Oryctolagus cuniculus: one gene and its partners. The protein of the gene in region 1 binds, or shares a complex with, the protein of each later gene. Links are inferred from orthologs where the notes say so. Each region holds a gene or a part of one and is shown in the gene's direction. Other genes may lie near its edges.

What was found.
Region 2: the proteins of GNAI1 (region 1) and HTR1A are in contact, whole or in part, in a cryo-EM structure (PDB 8PKM), measured with the Homo sapiens proteins. The link is inferred for Oryctolagus cuniculus from reciprocal best matches to the Homo sapiens genes GNAI1 and HTR1A. Residues at the interface, in NP_002060.4 of Homo sapiens: Arg32, Lys192, Asp193, Leu194, Lys314, Asp315, Glu318, Phe336, Thr340, Asp341, Ile343, Ile344, Lys345, Asn347, Leu348, Asp350, Cys351, Gly352, Leu353, Phe354; in NP_000515.2 of Homo sapiens: Arg134, Ala137, Ile138, Pro141, Ile142, Tyr144, Val145, Asn146, Ile218, Ala222, Arg225, Ile226, Lys228, Thr229, Met335, Arg339, Lys342, Thr343, Thr346, Leu347, Asn404.
Region 3: the proteins of GNAI1 (region 1) and GALR1 are in contact, whole or in part, in a cryo-EM structure (PDB 7WQ3), measured with the Homo sapiens proteins. The link is inferred for Oryctolagus cuniculus from reciprocal best matches to the Homo sapiens genes GNAI1 and GALR1. Residues at the interface, in NP_002060.4 of Homo sapiens: Lys192, Leu194, Lys314, Asp315, Thr316, Lys317, Glu318, Tyr320, Phe336, Thr340, Asp341, Ile343, Ile344, Lys345, Asn347, Leu348, Lys349, Asp350, Cys351, Gly352, Leu353, Phe354; in NP_001471.2 of Homo sapiens: Thr70, Arg133, Ala136, Ile137, Ser140, Arg141, Ser143, Val223, Leu227, Lys230, Leu231, Asn233, Ser235, Lys236, Lys237, Ser238, Ser241, Lys244, Thr245, Thr248, Leu306, Ser307, Glu308, Asn309.

Annotation. Positions count from the first base shown.
Region 1 is NC_091434.1:144,919,655-144,924,034, forward strand, and holds the end of GNAI1 (guanine nucleotide-binding protein G(i) subunit alpha-1), read left to right. Parts: intron 1-1,540; coding exon 1,541-1,731; 3' UTR 1,732-3,703; downstream 3,704-4,380. UniProt on the Homo sapiens protein: Guanine nucleotide-binding proteins (G proteins) function as transducers downstream of G protein-coupled receptors (GPCRs) in numerous signaling cascades.
Region 2 is NC_091445.1:84,850,480-84,854,179, reverse strand, and holds HTR1A (5-hydroxytryptamine receptor 1A), read left to right. Parts: upstream 1-1,413; coding exon 1,414-2,682; downstream 2,683-3,700. UniProt on the Homo sapiens protein: G-protein coupled receptor for 5-hydroxytryptamine (serotonin). Also functions as a receptor for various drugs and psychoactive substances.
Region 3 is NC_091441.1:2,136,731-2,141,683, reverse strand, and holds the start of GALR1 (galanin receptor type 1), read left to right. Parts: upstream 1-1,635; 5' UTR 1,636-2,266; coding exon 2,267-2,932; intron 2,933-4,953. UniProt on the Homo sapiens protein: Receptor for the hormone galanin. The activity of this receptor is mediated by G proteins that inhibit adenylate cyclase activity.

The DNA of each region.
Region 1 (4,380 bases):
ACAAGCTGAGAATTGTAGATTGTTACTGCAAGAAAAAAATTATATAGTTTTGTTCAAAATGAACATTGCATAGTAGTTTATAGATATATGTTATTACATTATGCACATGAGTATATTATTAAAATAATGTTTTATGGATACATGCATAGATACATACACAAAATGCACACTCACACACATATCTACAAACAACCCCAGGGTGAAGCTCATTGAAATTTCAAAAGTGAACGTCTCAGGGTAGGCATTTTGTGCAGTAGTTAAGTCACCACTTGCGATACCTACAACCCGTAACAAGAGTGCCAGGTTTGAGCTCTGAGTACACCACTACCAGCCCAGCTTCTTGGTAATGTGTACTCTGGTGAAGATCCAAGTATTTGGGTCACTGCTACCCACTTGGGAGACCCAGATGGACATCCAGGCTCCTGGCTTCAGCCTGGCCGAATCCTGGCTATTGGAGGCATGTGGGAAGTGAACCAGTAGACAGAAGATCTCTCTGTCTCTCTGCTTTTCAAATAAAATGAACTTAATTAACTAATTAGAAAAAGAAAGAGAACACATAGATTTCCACCACTCAGGTCAAGAAACGCAATGTTTCTGGGACTCCAGAAGCTCTGCCATGCCAACTCTCAGTCTTGAATCAACCCCACCTGCCCTCCTCTGCATGCAGATCATCCAGCAGACACTCTTTTTACACTCATTTTGTTGTTGTTGTTGTTAAGCTATGTGTGCGAGTGGTCCCTGTCCTTGTGTGCAGCAGTGGTGCTTCCACCCTCATTTTGCGGTCCTGCATCGCAGCCCATTGTCTGAACATGCTGAGCTTTGTGCTGTTCACATGCTTTATATGCCCTTGGGTGAACCCAGCAACATGGGTCTGTCCACTCTACACCTAGATACAGAACTGCTGGATGCGAGCATGTGTGTGAATATCTGTAGATACTTCCCAGCAGTCTCCAGAGTGTTTGTACTCAGAGCAAGTCTAGTCAGTAACCGGTTGCAAGGCGGGAGGTATCATTCACTTTTTTGTAACCTCATAGCCCAAGCCACATTATAGACCCTTGTTCAGGTTTTGAATAAAGAAAAATGAGGGAGCAATGCTATTACTTCTATGTGGGAAAGATGAAAAAACACCTATCAGCGTTCAGCCAACATTATTGATCCACCTCTGGGTTAGACTGAAGTAACATGCACCATCAAGCAAGCAAGTGGTTTAGTGTGCAGATGAAGAGAGTGGGCAGGAGAGAAAGGACATCCAACAATTGGGGGTTAGGGCAGGAGCAAAGACCATGGTAATCATGGAAGGCCAAATGAAGGGGCTTTTTGTTTTCTTTTTTTAATTTTAGGGGTGACTTCCAGTCATTAAAAAGTCATCTGCAGGTGTTGTTTTCCAGTGAGACTTCATTTGTCCTGTTGTACAAGGGGAAAATGCAGTTAATGAGTCCACATATTTTGTATGAATAAAGCTGACTTCAATATTTTAAGGTCTATTTTGCTTTATTTTAACTTCCCGTGTTCTATTTGTTCTATTTGTTTCCTTTTTCAGGATCAAACACGTACGAAGAGGCAGCCGCATATATTCAGTGTCAGTTTGAAGACCTCAATAAAAGAAAGGACACAAAGGAAATATACACCCACTTCACATGTGCCACAGATACTAAGAATGTGCAGTTTGTTTTTGATGCTGTAACAGATGTCATCATAAAAAATAATCTAAAAGATTGTGGTCTCTTCTAAGTTTTGCAGTGAATGGTAAATTGCATTTTCAAACCAAATGAGTGCTTATACGGATCTCTAGACTAGAGTCTTACAGCAGCAGAGAATGTAGGGTATGGCAGATGCATCCGGTACCTCACCAAAGTTACTCTGTTTTTTTTGTTTTGTTTTGTTTTTGTTTTGTTTCGTTTTGTTTTTAACTGAAAGTAACAGAAGGACCTTTCTTAAGTGTGTAAGATGGTCCTGCAGTGGGAAGCTGAAGGGCAGTGTTAAAGCTGGGCTCTAGAATATCGGTGACTTCTATGTCTAAGTGTAAATATGCAAATGTATGTACACATGTATTTATAACTTTAATTTTCCACATAACTATTAGGTTTTAAGAGTGGTAACTTGCAATTCTAGTGTGATGGCTTTGAAAATACCATAAATATCAAGTACCTTGTACTGAATGACAGACTATTACTGTGTTTGCCAGTTTTGAAGAGCTTTATTTATGTTCCTGTCTTACAGATTTTTAAGTGCAGCAATTAATATTAGGAAACATTGCAGCCCTTACCCTGATTATATGTATACTTGTATTCATAAAAATGTTATTTGTACAAACATTGCACAGACTATTTTAATAACATAATTTGTTCTTTAAATTTACTGTGTTTTATTGAAATGTTCTTAAAGAGGATGAATATACCTGCTTTTGGATCACTTATTTAAACACTGTATGGATTGTCTTTTTTTTTTTTCTTAATTTGAAGAGTGCATGCTGCTTTGATTCTACATTAGATCTGGTTCAAATAACTAAAATTTTAAGTTTTTGAGGATATACAATCTTAAGCATATTCTAAACACCTAGTTTTTATTCATTAGTTTGCTTTCACTTTGAATTTTAATATTTGGATGGTGTTCAATGCATTGCCTTAAAGGTGATGCCTGATTAATTTTTATACTCTTGAAATAACTACACTTTTATTTATAACTAAGTTTAGGTGGAGATGTTGAGAGCATTTTTGTGGGTTAAAAAAAAGTCAGCAAAATGAATTTTGAAGCATTCATTTGTGTATTTCCTTTGGGAAATCCCTTGTACCTAGCATTCATGATAGTTCCTCCTTAGAGGTTAACAAGAAAGATCTTTATCCTACTGCTTCAAATTCACTTACGAAACAGGTTTCAAATTCAGTTATCACACTACATTAAAGCTACGTTTTGCTTTTTGGATACTCAAATTTCCTCCATTTGCTTGAGTTCATATTATTTCTTTTTAAATTATGCTCTTATTTCTGAAGAAGAAATGGACAATGGCACTTAGAAAATGAGTAATCGTATTTAAACGTCAGTGATTATGTGTATGCTCAAATTAAGTGTTGCTTATCAGCTAGATCGTGAACTTGATGGGATCCTTTTCTAGGGTTCCTGTTAGTGTGTCTCTGTGACCTTGTTTCAGTGAAATGAAAAGCCTTCCTCATCCCACCTCCCTCTTTTTTATTCATCTTGGGAAAAACTAGTCTTTCAACAAGCTTCGTTGGTAAGTGGCTTCTCGGTTTGATTATGTGTTGTTGTTTTGTTGAAGTTCAGTTTTGTGTTGTCATTTTCCTGAAGAATAGTTGTTGAAGTGTGTGTGTATGTGTATGTCTGGGTAGCCACAAACCATGTTTGTATCTCTTTTCATTTTAGGGATTCTGTTTTTCTTCTTTGTAATGTAAAGAATTTCAGAGTTATTGAAATTTCTTACATGTGTTAGTTTAGATTCTTTATGTGCCTTTCATGAAAAATGTTTTCATTACTTTTATTGATGGGAGACCTGTAATGTCCGCATTGTGAAGCTGTGTACCTAAAATTTAACTAAAACCTGAATAAATTTGAATAATAAGAAATATGGTTTAAAAAGCCACCAAGAAGCACATATTGTTGACCATCATTGATGAATTCCTAAACTTTATTCTGTGTAATTGTGTTACTAATAAATCCTAATAAATTTAAATTTTTAAAATTTTACAAACTGTTGACTAAGCGCATTTTGCATTAGAATTAAGTATTTGTCTATCGTATCATCATTTCGTCTTTCTCTGTGTTTGTGGTTTGTTTGTTTTTGGGTTTTTTTTTTTTTTTCAGCTTCATCTACTCCAGAAGCTTGAGTTTCCCCCCAAGTTTTATCATTAGGTGGATGCCCTGTTTGGAATTGCCTGCTTCATATCCCCTTCAGAAAATTCATCATATGTTCCGACTCCTCATGCCCAAAACCAAATCCATCCTCATCCCCCCGGAAGCCTGTTCTCGTCTCTGACTCTGCGCTTTTAGCTACTAAGGACCAACCATCCCCATTTGGTACTCAGTGGAGAATACTTCAGCCAGACAGAACCCTTCCTATTCCTCTTCTCTGTCTCTGTTGGTACTCAGGCTTTTCCCGTACCTCACATCTGTGTTTTGGTTTTGTTTCACCTTCCATTCTATCCCCACTACTACCTACTGAATTGGGGTCTTTGCTGAACTTCCATCTGAAATGCTTGAGTCATTGAATCCCCACCTCCCGTTGCTCCTGCCTCTCATCTAGGTTGACTGTCTTAATATAGATCTGTGGTTGTGTTGCCTTCCTTTCTTTGACCTTCACTGAAGCTGTCAATACAATTAAATATAACTCAGCCTCCCTCCCATTCAAGGCTCTTTGTCACCTGAGCC
Region 2 (3,700 bases), on another chromosome or scaffold:
GGGGCTAGCCACCGGGGATTCCAAGTTCGCCGTACAGGTTTGCGGGCTTCAGTTAAAAGTGAAAAAGTCCCGATGGAATACAGGACGTCATTTCCAACAAATAGGCAAAATGTTTCCTGCTCTGAATTTTCCCACTTCAAAACTATCAGACGTGGCAGCATTCACTAAAATTAAAAGGACAATAGTGACAGAAAATTGTGTGGGCTTGTGTGTAGAATACATACCGAGGTGTGATTCCTCCCCTCACAGCTGTTTGCCTGTCCTTGTATTTTAACATGACTTTTATAATTCCGTTCTCCCTTAATTCCCCAACGTTAAAAAAGAGAAGGGAGTCATAGGCACCATTCGTCCGTAAGGAGTCAGGCTGGACTATTAGAGGATGGAAGGAGGTGACTTTTAAACAGCTAGGACACACTCCGTCTTTTAATCAAGTAAGGATCATTTACAGAGGGACCTGGGGCTGTCCACCTTTCCTCTCCGGCGTCGTGTATCCCTTTGCCTTATATCCTACAGCCACGCTGTGGTGCTGATTTTAAGGATTTGACAGAGATAAGAGGCAATGGATAGTTAGAAGGGGGGGGGGGAGAGTTTTTCCTCCTCTCGAGTTTGGCTGGGTGGGGGGCGGAGTTTACTTGTTACAACGCTGGTCTGGCGGATAGGGTGTGTGCAAACGAATTCTGAGTCTCTGTTGGCAGAAAGGGAGTCAGTGAAAGGACGCCGGGATAGAAGGAGAGGAGGGCGGGGACCCAGAGGGAAAAGGCGCCCAGGTTGGGGAGGTTTTCGGAGGGGAGGGCTAGCGTGGGAGGGAGGGAGACCGGCTGTGGAGCGACACACAGGGATAAAGAAAAGGAGGTGAGAGGGAGGAGGGAGGCCGAAAAGGAAGGTAGCGGGGAGAAGGGAGGAGGAGGAGGCTGAAGGGACCCAGAAGAGAAGGGAGGAGAGAGTGAGAGGGAGGCAGAGAGGGACGCAGGAGGGAGGGTCACAGAGCCAGCGCCTGGGACGATGGGGCTCCTCTATTCCAGATACTTCTGGGATTGGAGACTGTTTGCTAGTGGGGAGACTCCGGCTCCGGCAGCCAGTTGGGCAGCGACAAAGTAAAATGGACAGCGAGAGACTGACGCCCAAGCCACCTCTGCGCCGCCCGCAGATTCCGCAGCTGCTCTCGGGCCAACTCCAGTTGCCCCGCTGGAGCCTCTGAGCGCCCTGGACCGCGGGAGCGCACCGAGCGCCTGCAAGCTGCTACTGAGAGATGCCTTCGCCAGAGCAGTAAGAACTTCCCGCCGGAGTCCCTGCCTCCCCTTCCTCGGAAGCTCCCCGGGAGAAGGGGCGGAAGACCCCCGGGGGAGGGGCGAGGGGGATCCTCTCGCGGCTCCGTCTCCCCTCCCCCTCCCCCCGCCGGGCGCGCAGGCAGGCATGGATGTGCTCAGTCCCGGCCGGGGCAACAACACGACGTCGTCCCAGGGTCCCCTCGGGACAGGCGGCAACGCCACTGGCATCTCCGACGTGACCTTCAGCTACCAAGTAATCACCTCCCTGCTGCTGGGCACGCTCATCTTCTGCGCGGTGCTGGGCAATGCGTGCGTGGTGGCTGCCATCGCCCTGGAGCGCTCCCTCCAGAACGTGGCCAACTATCTCATCGGCTCTCTGGCGGTCACCGACCTCATGGTGTCCGTGCTGGTGCTCCCCATGGCCGCGCTGTACCAGGTGCTCAACAAGTGGACTCTGGGCCAGGTCACCTGCGACCTGTTCATCGCCCTCGACGTGCTGTGCTGCACTTCATCCATCCTGCACCTGTGCGCCATCGCACTGGACAGGTACTGGGCCATCACGGACCCCATCGACTACGTGAACAAGAGGACGCCCCGGCGTGCCGCCGCGCTCATCTCGCTCACTTGGCTCATTGGCTTCCTCATCTCCATCCCGCCCATGCTGGGCTGGCGCACCCCGGAAGACCGCTCCGACCCTGACGCGTGCACCATCAGCAAGGACCACGGCTACACCATCTACTCCACTTTCGGCGCTTTCTATATCCCGCTGCTGCTCATGCTGGTCCTCTACGGGCGCATCTTTCGCGCCGCGCGCTTCCGCATCCGCAAAACTGTCAAGAAGGTGGAGAAGAAAGGCGCAGACACCCGTTTTGGAGCTTCGCCGGCCCCACAACCCAGAAAGAGCGTGAACGGAGAGCCAGGGAGCAGAGACTGGAGGCAGGGCGTGGAGAACAAGGGTGTGGGGCTTGCGTGCGCCAACGGCGCGGTGAGACAGGGCGACGATGGCGCCGCCCTGGAGGTGATCGAGGTGCACCGGGTGGGCAACTCCAAGGAGCACCTGCCGCTTCCTAGCGAGGCGGGTGCCGCCGCCGGTGCCCCTGCCTCCTTTGAGCGGAAAAATGAGCGCAATGCCGAAGCCAAGCGCAAAATGGCCCTGGCCCGTGAGAGGAAGACGGTGAAGACACTGGGCATCATCATGGGCACGTTTATCCTCTGCTGGCTGCCCTTCTTCATAGTGGCCCTGGTCCTGCCCTTCTGCGAGAGCAGCTGCCACATGCCCACGCTGTTGGGCGCCATCATCAACTGGCTGGGCTACTCCAACTCTCTGCTCAACCCTGTCATTTATGCCTACTTCAACAAGGACTTTCAAAACGCGTTTAAGAAGATTATCAAGTGCAAGTTCTGCCGCCGATGATGCTGAAGGTGTAGCCGGCGAGTAGGGGTTGTAGGACCCACTCCATGTAGCCTGCTCCCCCAGCCCCTGGAACCATCGCCTAAGATAACTTGCTACTTTTCCTGGAACTTTTCTGCTGCGCCCAAGGCTTCCAGACGTCGCCCCCTCCCAAGCCCCTGCTCCCAGGGAGAGCGCTGTGTGCAGAGAAGCCCCAAGGTCTGTGAGAAGCAACGGTGTCTCAGTCTGCGGCCTCAGCAGCACTTTTGATTCCAGCAATTGCTGCCTTCAAATTCTGTCCCCCGGATCTGCGAGGTGGAAGCTTAAGCCCCAGGTATTCAAGGTAGAAAGTCCAATTAGAAAACTAAACAAGCAGCAACAATAACAACAAAAAACTGCCTACAGCTGCTGGGTCCACTAACAGCTTCCACCTGACGCCGAGCTTCTAGTGCTTGCATTTAAGGATAAGGATTTCGATCCATCTCTCCAGCCCTCTTCCCCTAGAAATATCCACTCTGTGTGTCTCCCTCTCCTCTTCCTCCCCCCGGCCTTCTTATCTGACCTTAAGCGTCTGGTCCCTTGCATGCCCTGATCCTCTGGTCCAGAAATCTGGGAAGGTCTGTTTTCCGCTGTGTCAGCGGTGCCCTGGGGATCTCCGCCGCCCAGTATAGACTGCTGTGCACTGTCCCTGCTTGCTCTGTGTTCTTGGACTGCAAACAAGGGCCCAGCAGGTGTGTCTTAGATTGCACTTGTAAGTACGCGGCCGGGCCAGTGGGGGAGAACGAGGACAGAGTGTGGACCATTTTGTCCGTGTTTACCTGGGTGTCAGCACTCACCAAAGAAACCGACAATCACGCAACGACGAAGGTGGACTTGGGAATTTATAGGTTGCTGGCGAGTCTGCACACGCAGGCGTGGCCTCTTAGCTACTGCGGGAGGCGCCCTCTGGCCGCGGTGTGCGCGCTTGGGGCGCGGCGAGGCCTGGGAACCGCATACTTCCCGGGCGGTCTGTTCTCTACTCTGCGCGCCCGCCGCGGACTTA
Region 3 (4,953 bases), on another chromosome or scaffold:
GAAGGGAGGAGACAGAGCGAGAGAGTGAACAAGAGAGCACACAGCGTAGAAAACAGAGCACAGAACAAAATGCTGAAAGTCAATCCAGAAACCCATACAGAGTAGCAATATCAATAAGTAGAAGTGTGTGAAATTCACCCGTGTGAAAACTAGAGATTGCTGGCTGGATTCTCAAGTAATTTGGTCCTGTGTTCCTTTGAAGCGGTGCCCTGCATCACAGGGCATGGAAGTGACAGGCACTGTCCGTGCATCTACAGTGCCACGACAGCCTCACAGGCCAGACCAGAACAAAACTTGTCACGTCACTGAGCACAGCACACTGAGACAAAGAACAAGCAGCCAACCACTCAGACCCACCAGTCTGTCTAAGAGCCTGTGTGTATGCCACGAATGCATGAAGCAGCAGCAGGTGTGTGACCCCTGAGACCGCCTGGAGATGGCTGAGGGGACGGGAGGTGGAGAAAAGTGACCTCAGTTCTACTGGTCATCGTTTACTCCTCTAAGCTAGGTGGTGGGCCTGCGGGTATTTGATATGATTCCAACATACCTGTTCCATGCCAGAAACGGTTCATATAAATCTTTCCCTGTGCCACACGACGTGACTTTCCGTGCAGCAGAGCCGTCCAACACCTGGCACCAGGCAAGGCAGGGACCCAAAACAGCCCTGACAGGCAGCCCCACTTCCGGAGTTTTTTCAGGTGTCCTTCGGGGCGGGGCAGGTGAGGGCACTGCAATGAGCAGGCCTATCCAGTTTGTCCCCTGGAAAACGTGCGTCAGCAGTGCCAGACCCTTTGCAGGTCCGGCGTGGGACCACAGCGTTGGGGGAGCTGCAGCAGCCTTCCCAGTGCCAGGGAGAACGGCGCGGCAGAGCTGCAGACAGCTCGGGCACTGCACAGACCCCCGCGGGCCCCAGGGCTCCCCGGATCTAAGCCCTAAATCTGCCTCCCGCAGTGCGGCGCCCCCTCCCCTTTGCGCTGTCCCTGCTCTCGGGCCGCGCGTGGTGCCCGCTGTGGCGGCGGAGTCATCATCAGGAGAATGCACTGTGGTGTGTTTGAAAGATGCACACACACGACGCAAACATCACAGAAAGTCAATTTCCGCTCTTCAGCTGGGAACCTCCGGGATGACAAACCCACGTTCGCCAGCGCAACTGTGCCTGGCTCCATCCCTGCCGTGTGTCCAGCTTGCAGCAGGCAGGGACAGGACGTGCGCACGGTTCGGTCAGCGCCCAGAGGAGGAACGCAAGGCCTGGAGTTGGAACGCTAAACCTTCCTCCCAATGCTTTCTTCTCCCTGCTGTTGGCGGGGGAGGTTGGGGGCGCTTGGGGTTTGTATCGGCGGGCAGGAAGTGCCAGCTGCCCGCTGCCCGGGAGACACTGAGCGATGAGGCAGCCTGCGCGCCCCAGCGCCTCCCCGTCCAGCGCGCCCTGGAGCGCGCTCCGCGGCCCTCGCCAGGAGCCGGGGCCGCATCCTGCAGCCGCTACCATCCTCAGACCCCAGCAGACCCGCACCCAGTGCAGGCGCGCGCGCGCGGGTTGTAGCAAGGAGGTGGGCGGCGACCCTTCCTGTTAGGATTCGCCGTCTCCGCTCGCACGCCGACTTCCGGGGGTACGCAGGGGGCCCCCAGGGGGCGCAGATTAAAGCCGGGTTAAGTCTTCGCCGCTCCCACCCGGCCCTGCCCACCACTAGGGAGCTCAGAAAGCGCTCTCGCCCTGTGCGCTACTTGGAATCCCAGCAAGACCTGCGAGGGAGTCGGAGGCGCACGCAGCTGGGGAGGTGGCGCCGAGCGCACGGGAAGCGCCGCGAACCCTCTCCGCGAGCCCCACCCTTGGTGCGCTGCGCTCCCGGCCCTGCCCCGGGTGCGCTTTGGGGAGGAGCGGCTCTGGGCAACAGGTGCAGCCGGAGCCGGTCGGCAGCACGGGTCTGGAGCCGCTAAGGCGCCGAGAGGACTTTCACCTGCAGGGCTGCAGCCGGCGGGTCCCGGGGTCGGCGGCCGCGCGGCGGTCGTAGACGCGGGGCCAGGAAGACGCCTGTGCTCCCCGCCGGACAAGAGCCAGCTCCGCGCCCCCGCGCCGGCTGTCCAACGCCCGGCACGAAGACTGCGCTGCCAGGCGCGGCTGCCCCGCCGCGGCGCCCGCTCTCCTGCGCATCGGCGGAGGCTCCGGTGGAAACTCGCGCGCTGGCACTCGGGGCGGGACCCCCGGCGCCGGCTGCCCGTGGCAGACAGCCTGCCCCGCCACCCCGCGTCCCGGGCGCCCCCGCGGGCCATGGAGCTGGCTGCAGGGAACCTCAGCGAGGGTAACGCGAGCTGGCCCGAGCCGCCCGCCGCCGAGCCCCGGCCGCTGCTGGGCGTCGGCGTGGAGAACTTGGTCACGCTGGTGGTGTTCGGCCTCATCTTCGCGCTGGGCGTGCTGGGCAACAGCCTGGTGATCACGGTGCTGGCGCGCAGCGCGCCGGGCAAGGCGCGCAGCACCACCAACCTGTTCATCCTCAACCTGAGTATCGCCGACCTGGCCTACCTGCTCTTCTGCATCCCCTTCCAGGCCACCGTGTACGCGCTGCCCACCTGGGTGCTGGGCGCCTTCATCTGCAAGTTCATCCACTTCTTCTTCACCGTCTCCATGCTGGTCAGCATCTTCACGCTGGCCGCGATGTCGGTGGACCGCTACGTGGCCATCGTGCACTCCCGGCGCTCCTCTTCCCTGAGGGTGTCCCGCAACGCGCTGCTGGGCGTGGGCCTCATCTGGGCGCTGTCCATCGCCATGGCCTCGCCCGTGGCGTACCACCAGCGCCTCTTCCACCGCGGCGCCGCCAACCTGACCTTCTGCTGGGAGCACTGGCCCGACCCGCGCCACAAGAAGGCGTACGTGGTGTGCACCTTCGTCTTCGGCTACCTGCTGCCGCTGCTGCTCATCTGCTTCTGCTACGCCAAGGTGGGGCGCGCGGGACCGAGGGCGCGGGGCCGGGGGTGCCCCGGGAGTCGCGTTGTGTCCGCAGCCCCCGCCCGCGGGCCCGCGCGGCCTGGCGGTGTCCGGCGGACGCCGCTCTGCCTTTGCCTCTGCGGGCGCCCTAGCGTTGGAGGCGGCGCAAGGGTTCGCGGAGTTTGCGGTGCTGGGGAAGTTCGCGGGTCGCCAGTTGACTCCGGGAGGGACGTTCCCCGTTCTCGAGCCCTAGGCCCCCGCGGCCCTGGGAGTCCGAGCGCAGCCCGCGCGGCCGGCGAGAGAGCCGCTCTGGTGGCGCAACTGGGATGCGGGAGCAGCCGGTGCCACTGAGCGCGGCGCTGCTGGGCGCGGGGTCCATCGGAGCGCGTCGGGCCCGCCGCCCCCTCCCTGTGCTGGTTGCGCTGGGTAGAGAGGGGGCGCCCGCCGGGAGCTCCCTCCAGGACCGGCTCTGGGAAGCCGCTGCTCCTGGGAGAACGGAGCTTTGCGGTAGTCAGCCCCGGTGGGAAGACGGCATTTCCTGTGGTCCCCGGGGCCGCGTAGAACCCCTGCCTTCCGCGTTTCCACAGCTGAATCCCCGACCCTGGGGGGAGGCTCCCGGGAACACAGCGCCCTCGGCCGCGCCTTAGCCCGCGCCCCAGCTGCTGGAAGGCAGTTCTCCTTTCCCTCCGCTTACTCAGAGGACCTGAGGACTTCTGCATTGACCTGTGACACGACCGGTCCATGTCTGCGTCAAGAGGCATGTGTGTTGAGTGAGGATGGTGTTTGTGGGGTGCACGCCAGTGTGCACACACAGCCCCCCTATACCCTCAGCGCTAGACAGACAGCTCCCCAAATTCTGAAATTTCTGCCCACGCTCCGCCCTGTCGGTCTGGCCCCCTGTTTCTGGGAAGGCTGAGGCGACAGGACCCTGAACAGCACAGGGGGCGGAAGGAAGACGCTGGCTTAGAATCGGTTCCCAGGGCATTCTCCCCCCCCCCCCCCCCAAAAAAAAAAAAACCCTCTCGCCATAAGCCTGCTGGTGTTGTTCCTCCTCTCTGTGCCATCCAGGTGGGCTACGTCTCCTGCGAGTGGCAGTGTTTTTTGATGTCACCCGAAGGTTCTGTGAACAGATGTGCTGGGGAGGTAGGGGATTCAGAAATGGCCCCTAGCCTGGCCGTTGGGAGAAGGCTGACTCATTCATGAGTCTGGGAATGCAACCCAGAGGCTGGTCCCCCAGCGCAGCTGTCCCTGTGTGCCGTCTCACTCGCCTCGCACACCCCGTGGGTGCCGGCTGCTGTCCCCTCCGCAGTGACGAGAGGAGTGGAGGCCCCGGGGGCCAAGCTGGAGATGGTTCCGGAAGGCTTTTCAGCAGGGGTGCCCAGGGGCATGGAGGAGGGGCAGACAGTGGGGGCCTTGTGGGCATGGAGCTTGAGACCAGGGGGACACTTAAAATGCTGCCTTCCGGGTTCCTAGCTTCCTGCCTTAGACCCAAAGCGAGCGCTTCCCTCACTCCCCCAGAGGCCTGGGGGAACTTGCTCAAATCCTGCTGGTGGAAGTGACAGGGTCAATCTTCAGGGCTAAACTGGCCATCTTGCTGTTGTTTGAGAGCTTGTAAAACTCGGAGGGCAGAGTTTAAAAAACGTTTTTAAATACTCAGTCATTTGCAGATTTTCTCTGGAAATTGCTTGCTTCTAAGTGGAAAAGCCTTCTGAATTTGAAGTAGTATTTGCAAGCCCCTTCCAGGGCAGTGTGAACAGGTGGAGGTGTGTGGCCTGCAGTGCTCCCTTGGGTCAGCCGGTGGTGCTTAGCACCTGCGGATCTCGTTCTTGAGGGGCAGGTTCGGGCCTGGCTGAAAGGGGTTGCTTCCAGAGGTGCTCTGTGCTCCCCAGACCCTGCTGGTTTCCAGTGGAACAGCTCCGGCACCTGTCAGTCATGGGAGCGTCCAGAACACGTGACTAGAGGACAAATGCCGGCGACCAGCGCAGTACCCCCTGGGGCGCCCACTGCTGCTGTGGGGCTGGCCTTGGGAGCAT